Linked DNA regions of Arabidopsis thaliana. The protein of the gene in region 1 purifies or fractionates together with the protein of each later gene. This does not show direct contact. Each region holds a gene or a part of one and is shown in the gene's direction. Other genes may lie near its edges. The genes, in order: BAM2 and CPI1.

What was found.
Region 2: the proteins of BAM2 (region 1) and CPI1 purify together in Arabidopsis thaliana (affinity purification with western blotting, with the first as the bait; one study listed by BioGRID). This does not show direct contact.

Annotation. Positions count from the first base shown.
Region 1 is NC_003074.8:18,415,766-18,419,694, forward strand, and holds the start of BAM2 (Leucine-rich receptor-like protein kinase family protein), read left to right. Parts: upstream 1-1,802; 5' UTR 1,803-1,975; coding exon 1,976-3,929. UniProt on the Arabidopsis thaliana protein: Necessary for male gametophyte development, as well as ovule specification and function. Involved in cell-cell communication process required during early anther development, and regulating cell division and differentiation to organize cell layers.
Region 2 is NC_003076.8:20,509,728-20,513,656, forward strand, and holds the start of CPI1 (cyclopropyl isomerase), read left to right. Parts: upstream 1-1,939; 5' UTR 1,940-2,128; coding exon 2,129-2,135; intron 2,136-2,220; coding exon 2,221-2,351; exon of another isoform or gene 2,352-2,601; coding exon 2,602-2,685; intron 2,686-2,836; coding exon 2,837-2,878; intron 2,879-3,028; coding exon 3,029-3,139; intron 3,140-3,227; coding exon 3,228-3,419; intron 3,420-3,622; coding exon 3,623-3,720; intron 3,721-3,929. Other genes in the region: AT5G50370 (Adenylate kinase family protein), read right to left, coding at 19-186, 274-539, 784-904. UniProt on the Arabidopsis thaliana protein: Converts pentacyclic cyclopropyl sterols to tetracyclic sterols.

The DNA of each region.
Region 1 (3,929 bases):
TACAAGATTTTGAAATGGACCACTTGAAAATTTGAACCCACTCTCTCTTTTTTTGTTTTCAATTTCGAAACCAAAATTTTTTAACAAAAAGATGACTTTGTGACCTTTGTTCTGTCTTTTAGCTACACACCAGTGGGCTGTTTGCTTTTACAGCGTGTCTTTCTGTTTACATGATTCAAGAGAAAGCAACAGTTCCTAAAGACTCAGTCATGTTTGTGTCTCTCCCAATTGATACAAAGACCAAAATTCAGCTTTGGTTCTTTTGTGTAAAAGTTCTCGAGATATGCTAATAAGATTAAACATAAAAACTCTCAAAAAGAGTATAAATTGAATTCTTTATGATTGTAGTAGCAAACAATAATTGTTAGGTTTAGTGCTATCATAATAATCTATTAGTCAGGTTAAATATATTCGATTTGGTACCAAATACGAAATCAAGCTTCAACAAACGAATCTGCAATACACACACACCCATCCAAAAGTATATCTTCGACATTTTCCCCAAAAAAGTATACATTTCCTAACACGTGCTTACCAATTCTTATCATTCGAAGTAAACCATTAAACAAGAAATGTTTTCATTATTATAAATTTTTCACTAATATAAGTTTATTATTTAGTGCAAGAAAGTGCGTTGCAGATGAAAACTTATTCTATTGATCCGGGTCCATAAAGAAGAAAACAAAAATTCACCTAATACGAGTACGACTTATTCTAGTGGCTACATATTTCCCTAATCATGTGACTAAAAATCTGCTTTCAAAATTTTGACATTCAGTATTTCTTTAGATCTATATCATTAAAAATTCATTTTTTTCTTTTGCATTTTGATTCCATATTTAATACAAGATTAAAAAAAAAAAAACTAATATGTTTGTTCACTGAGCAAACCATTATTGTTGATCAGTGAACTGTGGTAACTGGCAAAAGAAGCAAATGATTCGAAATCCTACTTTCTTACAAAATCAAATTGGATAATTTTGTGAGATAATAAAAAATCAGTATAAATAAAATAAAATACATGTCGGGAAACCATTATTGTTGATCAGTGAACTGTGGTAACTGGCAAAAGATGAAAATGATGCACATAGGACTGTGTTTAACTGACTTACTTCCACTAATCAAAAGTACGATCGTATCCCTACCCATCTCTCGAGGATCTTAACTGTTGCCGTGCGTCATCTCAAGGTTGTTCTCGTCATTATCAGTCGATCAGAGTACAGAGACCGGCTCTCTGGGTTTTGTCGATCATGCCATTGCCTTGGGGCTTGTTGTTGTGGTCCGTCCTAAGGATAGAAATGTTATTACAAAGCTTTTTAAGGGGTTCTTTGGTTAATTAAGTGTTTCGTTTTGCTTAAGAGAGGTTAAAGAAGCGGGTGTCTCAATAAGTTTTGGTAAGTTTGTGAATCCCCAGTGGTGGACTCCATCTTTTCCCGTCGAATTATAACATCAGGACCGTTCATTTCAACATCATCAATTAATTCATTATGGGGTTTATCTTTAAAACATCTTTTTGAATTTATGGTTCGCTTTGGTATTGCATTATTACACTTGTATACCTGTGTAATAAAGTGTTGGATTTTGTCAAGATTAGGTAACATCACGTTTCAAAACAACAAGGCTCCAAATTAATTAACATTTTCTTCATGTAATTATCGTTTTTGAATCCCTTCCTTTCTAATTCCATGTTTCATTAAATCCACCACATGCATATGTTTCTATATATGTTAAATAAACGACTTTTCAAGTTTTTAATTTGTGTTTTCTATTTTCAGAAAATTTATGTGAAATCAAAGTTTCTTAAAAATCTCCCTCCAAGTAAATTCCAAAATAAAATAAAAATAATACTTTTACAATATACAAATAAAACTCATAAAAAACACACACACAATCTTCATCTTCCTCACTTACTCTCACCCTTTTTAAAACCAAACCCTAACTTACACAGAAAGAGAAGAAAAAAAACAAAAAAAAAATGAAGCTTCTTCTTCTCCTCCTCCTCCTCCTTCTCCTCCACATTTCTCATTCCTTCACCGTCGCTAAACCAATCACCGAGCTCCACGCTCTTCTCTCACTCAAATCCTCCTTCACCATCGACGAACACTCACCTCTCCTGACCTCATGGAACCTTTCAACAACTTTCTGTTCATGGACCGGTGTCACGTGCGACGTCTCTCTCCGTCACGTGACCTCTCTCGACCTCTCAGGTCTTAACCTCTCCGGAACTCTCTCCTCCGACGTAGCTCATTTACCTCTGCTACAGAATCTATCACTCGCTGCTAATCAGATCTCAGGTCCTATTCCGCCGCAAATCTCCAATCTCTATGAGCTTCGTCACCTCAATCTCTCCAATAATGTCTTCAACGGTTCATTTCCCGATGAACTCTCCTCTGGATTGGTGAATCTCCGTGTTCTTGACTTATACAACAACAATTTAACCGGAGATTTACCGGTTTCACTCACTAATCTCACTCAGCTCCGTCATCTTCACCTCGGTGGGAATTACTTCTCCGGCAAAATCCCGGCGACGTACGGAACCTGGCCTGTTCTCGAATACTTAGCGGTTTCCGGTAACGAGCTAACCGGTAAAATCCCTCCGGAGATCGGAAACCTAACGACTCTTCGTGAACTTTACATCGGATATTACAACGCTTTTGAAAATGGTCTTCCACCGGAGATTGGAAATTTATCAGAGCTTGTTCGGTTCGACGCTGCTAATTGTGGTTTAACCGGAGAGATTCCACCGGAGATTGGGAAGCTTCAGAAGCTAGATACGTTGTTTCTTCAAGTAAACGCATTTACAGGGACAATAACTCAAGAGCTGGGATTGATTTCAAGCTTGAAATCGATGGATCTGTCTAACAATATGTTTACCGGCGAGATTCCGACGAGTTTTTCACAGCTGAAGAACTTAACGCTTTTGAATCTCTTCAGGAATAAGCTCTACGGTGCTATACCTGAGTTCATCGGTGAAATGCCGGAGCTTGAAGTGTTGCAGCTTTGGGAGAACAATTTCACTGGTAGTATTCCTCAGAAATTGGGGGAAAATGGTAGATTAGTGATTCTTGATCTCTCTTCGAACAAACTCACCGGAACTCTGCCGCCGAATATGTGTTCTGGTAACCGGTTAATGACGTTAATCACTCTTGGCAACTTCTTGTTTGGTTCAATACCGGATTCGCTTGGTAAATGTGAGTCTCTGACCCGGATCCGGATGGGTGAGAATTTCCTTAACGGGTCGATTCCAAAGGAGCTCTTCGGGTTACCTAAATTATCTCAAGTGGAGCTCCAAGACAATTACCTTACCGGAGAGTTGCCAATAAGCGGAGGAGGAGTCTCTGGTGACCTTGGTCAGATTAGTCTTTCTAATAACCAGCTCTCTGGTTCATTACCTGCAGCTATTGGAAACTTGTCCGGTGTTCAAAAACTACTTCTTGATGGTAACAAGTTCTCTGGTTCGATTCCTCCCGAGATTGGGAGGCTTCAGCAGCTATCTAAGTTGGATTTTAGCCACAATCTGTTCTCCGGTCGGATCGCACCGGAGATCAGTCGTTGTAAGCTGCTAACGTTTGTTGATCTTAGCCGTAATGAGCTCTCAGGTGATATTCCTAATGAACTCACAGGTATGAAGATCTTGAATTACTTGAATCTTTCAAGAAACCATCTCGTTGGTTCCATACCTGTGACGATAGCATCAATGCAGAGTTTGACATCGGTTGATTTCTCTTACAACAATCTCTCCGGTTTAGTTCCCAGCACTGGACAGTTTAGTTACTTCAATTACACATCGTTTGTGGGTAACTCTCATCTTTGTGGTCCGTATTTGGGTCCTTGCGGCAAAGGAACTCACCAGTCTCATGTCAAACCTTTATCTGCTACTACGAAACTGTTACTCGTCCTTGGATTGCTCTTTTGTTCGATGGTGTTTG
Region 2 (3,929 bases), on another chromosome or scaffold:
TTTGATGGTTTTTCTTACATCATCGACTCCTGGAACTTTAGGAGGTGCGAATTTAGTATGATAGCTTCTTCCACTTGAAGGGTGAATCCACCTTCCAGTAATTCTTTCTTCGAGAACCGAATCATCGATCGCAAAATTAAGCACCTTATCTATCTGAGCTCCCCTTCTATTAAGCATCTCATCAAGCTACAAGATTTATAAACAAAAAAAGTCAGAACATTTACAAGAGCGAGCAGATACACAAACAACTAACCACAGAAAAGAACCAGAAACCTTCTCTGCTTGAGTCACAGTCCGCGGGAACCCATCAAGAATGAAACCTTTCTGACATTTGGGTCTGTTCATTGCTTCATCCATGATACCAACAACCAAGTCATCAGAAACAAGCTCTCCCTTATCCATTGCTTCCTTTGCCTTCACACCAAGAGGAGTCTTAGCAGCAACAGCAGCTCTAAGCATGTCACCAGTAGACAAATGACACAAACAAAACTCATCCTTTATGACCGGAGACTGTGTACCTTTCCCTGAACCAGGTGGACCTGCAAATTCCAAATCATACATGAACCAAAACTCAATTCTTCCTTTCTATTGAACCAAAAAACACAAATTCACAATCCCTTCGCTATGATCATCAGATAAAGCATTAACGATAACAGCAAAATGCAATTTTTACACACTAAAACAGATAAAAATCGGAACTTTCGCTACACAATTTTCACAGAGATCAAACCTAAAGTACCGATTGAGTGAAAGATTCAGAGGTAACGAAAGAGATGATTGTACCGATGAAAACGAGACGTTTGTCAGGTTTAGAGGCACATTTCATACGGCGAAGAAGCTCAGACATGAGATCAACAGTCTGAATATCTTCCATATCAACAGAAGCCGCACTGCTCGTTGCCATGTTCGTCGTCGTCGTCTCTTACAAGAGAATTAGATTTGGTCCGGTGGAGTTGTGTTCTCTTTTTGAAGTGCGTGTATTGGATTCGATGCTTCCAATGTTTTCTTTCACCGTTTTACGATTTTACCCTTAACTGTGCCAACAACTACAAAGGCCTGCCCTTCGAACAACAACAACCTGCCTGGGGTTGGTGACACACCCAACTCTGAAAACGAGTCTTTCTTCTTACACATCTAATATCGCACATTTTTCATAATTACATAAAATCAAATATCATATAATACTTCCAACAAACCATTATGTTTTAGGTCAAGTGAACCAAAAAAAGCGGACTAGAAAACATAGAATAAGTAGAGTCTAACACATTTTTTCGGTTTTAAGGCACGATGGACCGGTCATTTGTCCAATTAACACTAGTGTTAAGAAACTTAATTTGATATTAAGTACTGAGGTTGAAGATTTTGCTAGTTTATGGTAGACTTATGAATATCAGTATACCACTAGACCACATTCACTTTTCGTCAATAAGACAATTAAACTCTTGAAAACCCACATTTTTCTTTTTTTTTTTTGAAAGCCAAACTCCATCAATGTTTGGTTATTAAAGATATGAATGAATACTACATCATTAGTTTCTTTCTTGATAATTTTTGTATATTTATTTATTAATAAGTTTTTGTATTTTTCTAAATTCTTAACATTAATAAAAGAGTTTTCCAAAAAATGCAAAATAATACTATAAAATTCAAAATAGTACATAATATAAGCTTTTTTTTTTCCAACTTTACATATATTGTAAACGTTTTTACGATCACATACATCTGCTTTTTGAAAATTCTAAAAATATAAATAAACTCTTTACCTCAAAAGTTTCAATTTGCTATATACATTTTTTTAAAATCAAATTTAACAATAAAAAATAAAATTAGATTACATATTATTTTAGAATTAAATTAACATAGGCCCACTTCTTATGTTGGGAAAAGGGAACAACAAATATAACAATTTAGCAACAAAGAAGTAGAAAAAAGAGGTGATGTCATAATAAACGGTAAAATAATAGGAACGATGAGCGAGCGGATCTAGCTTTCGTCAAAATCATCATCACTGAGTACATCTGCCACGTCAGCTTGATTGGGATCTATTTGGTCGCCCGTACACAAAATCTCGGCTCACTCACTCACACTACTCAAGTCAACGTTTCTAAGATTCTCCGGCGGAGCGATTATGTCAGGTAAAACTATCGCCGATCTCTTCTTCTTCTTCTGATTCGAATCTCTCGTCCCCATTCCCTGATTTTTTTGATTTACATTTGATAGGATCTTCTTCACCGAGCTTGTGGCTGGCACCGAATCCGAGCAAGAGATGGGGAGAGCTCTTCTTCCTCTTCTACACTCCTTTTTGGCTCACTCTCTGTTTAGGCATCGTTGTTCCTTACAAGCTTTACGAGGTCTATGCGATCATCAAATGAGCATTGTTTTTAAGTGTCTGATGTATTTAGGAGACGATGAGACAGAGTTGAAGTAGCTATTCACTTTTTTTTATCTGCTAAATTAGATCAACAAAGTTTATGAAATGATGTCTCATTGTTTACCATGTCAGTGTTTTAGAGATCTGAAAATTTTACTGTTGTATGAAGTTGTCTTTTAAGTGGTATTGAAGAAGTACTAATAAGTGTTAGTTACTTTGCAAACTAGCAGACATTCACGGAGTTGGAGTATCTGCTTCTAGCTTTGGTTTCAGCTGTTCCTGCTTTCGTTATACCCATGTTACTCGTTGGAAAGGTTACTTTTTGACAACTTTTGCTTTCACTGTGAGCTAACGTGTTCGTGGTGCTATACTTGTTTGTCTACTAGCTACTTGCTTCCAATTGAATGCAAATCTCTATTGTTTTCCTTACCATATGGACTCAGAATATATGCATTATTCTTTCAGGCCGACAGAAGTTTATGTTGGAAGGACCGCTATTGGGTTAAGGCAAGCTTTTTTTCTATGTGCATGACATTTTGGCTTGCCAGTTCTAGTTTCAAACTATTTTTAGAACTTGTTTTAACTTCCTTGAGTACTGGTGAGAGTTCTCAAGATCTCATCCATAGTTGTACTGATTGGAACATGTTTTTACCACAGGCAAATCTCTGGATAATTGTTTTCAGCTATGTCGGAAACTACTTTTGGACTCACTATTTCTTTAAAGTTCTTGGAGCGTCCTATACTTTTCCATCATGGAAAATGAATAATGTAAGCACAGCATTATCTCGGCAGATTTGTTCTATTGAGTAGTTTTCTTGTTTCCATGAGCTTATGGCAGGGGTTTTGTGTTGAACAGGTGCCTCACACAACATTCTTCCTAACACATGTTTGCTTCCTCTTTTACCACGTTGCATCGAACATTACTCTTCGGAGGCTACGCCATTCCACTGCTGATTTACCAGATTCTCTGAAATGGTGTTTTGAGGCTGCATGGATACTTGCGCTTTCTTATTTCATTGCATACTTGGAGACTATTGCTATCGCAAATGTACGTTGTGATGTCTACATTTCTTTGATAATTTCCTATAAAAAGAGCTCTCTACTTGGTGTTTTATCATATATCACAAATTCCTCTTATAGTCTGCTTAAAGACTACGTTTATCTACTTAATCATTCTAGAATCTTGTTTAGAAACTAGTCACTTGACAATAACCGCTCATATGTTCTGTTTTTGTTTTCAAACTTGTGCAGTTTCCTTACTATGAGTTTGTGGACCGAAGTGCCATGTACAGAGTTGGATGTCTTTTCTATGCCATTTACTTCATTGTGAGCTTCCCAATGTTCTTCAGGTAAAGAAAGCATAGTTTTCTATCATCTCATAGAAGCAGTGAATCTTTTCACCTTCATGACTGTTGCATATCAAAACTGAGACAAGTGATAGTTGTTAGATACACCGGATTAATTGATTGAATTTTCTTGAGAGTCTTAAAATATAGGAATTAAAGACTTAAATGGAGAACCAGGTCTTTCTCAAGTGTCTTGAGGAGTTCTTTGAACA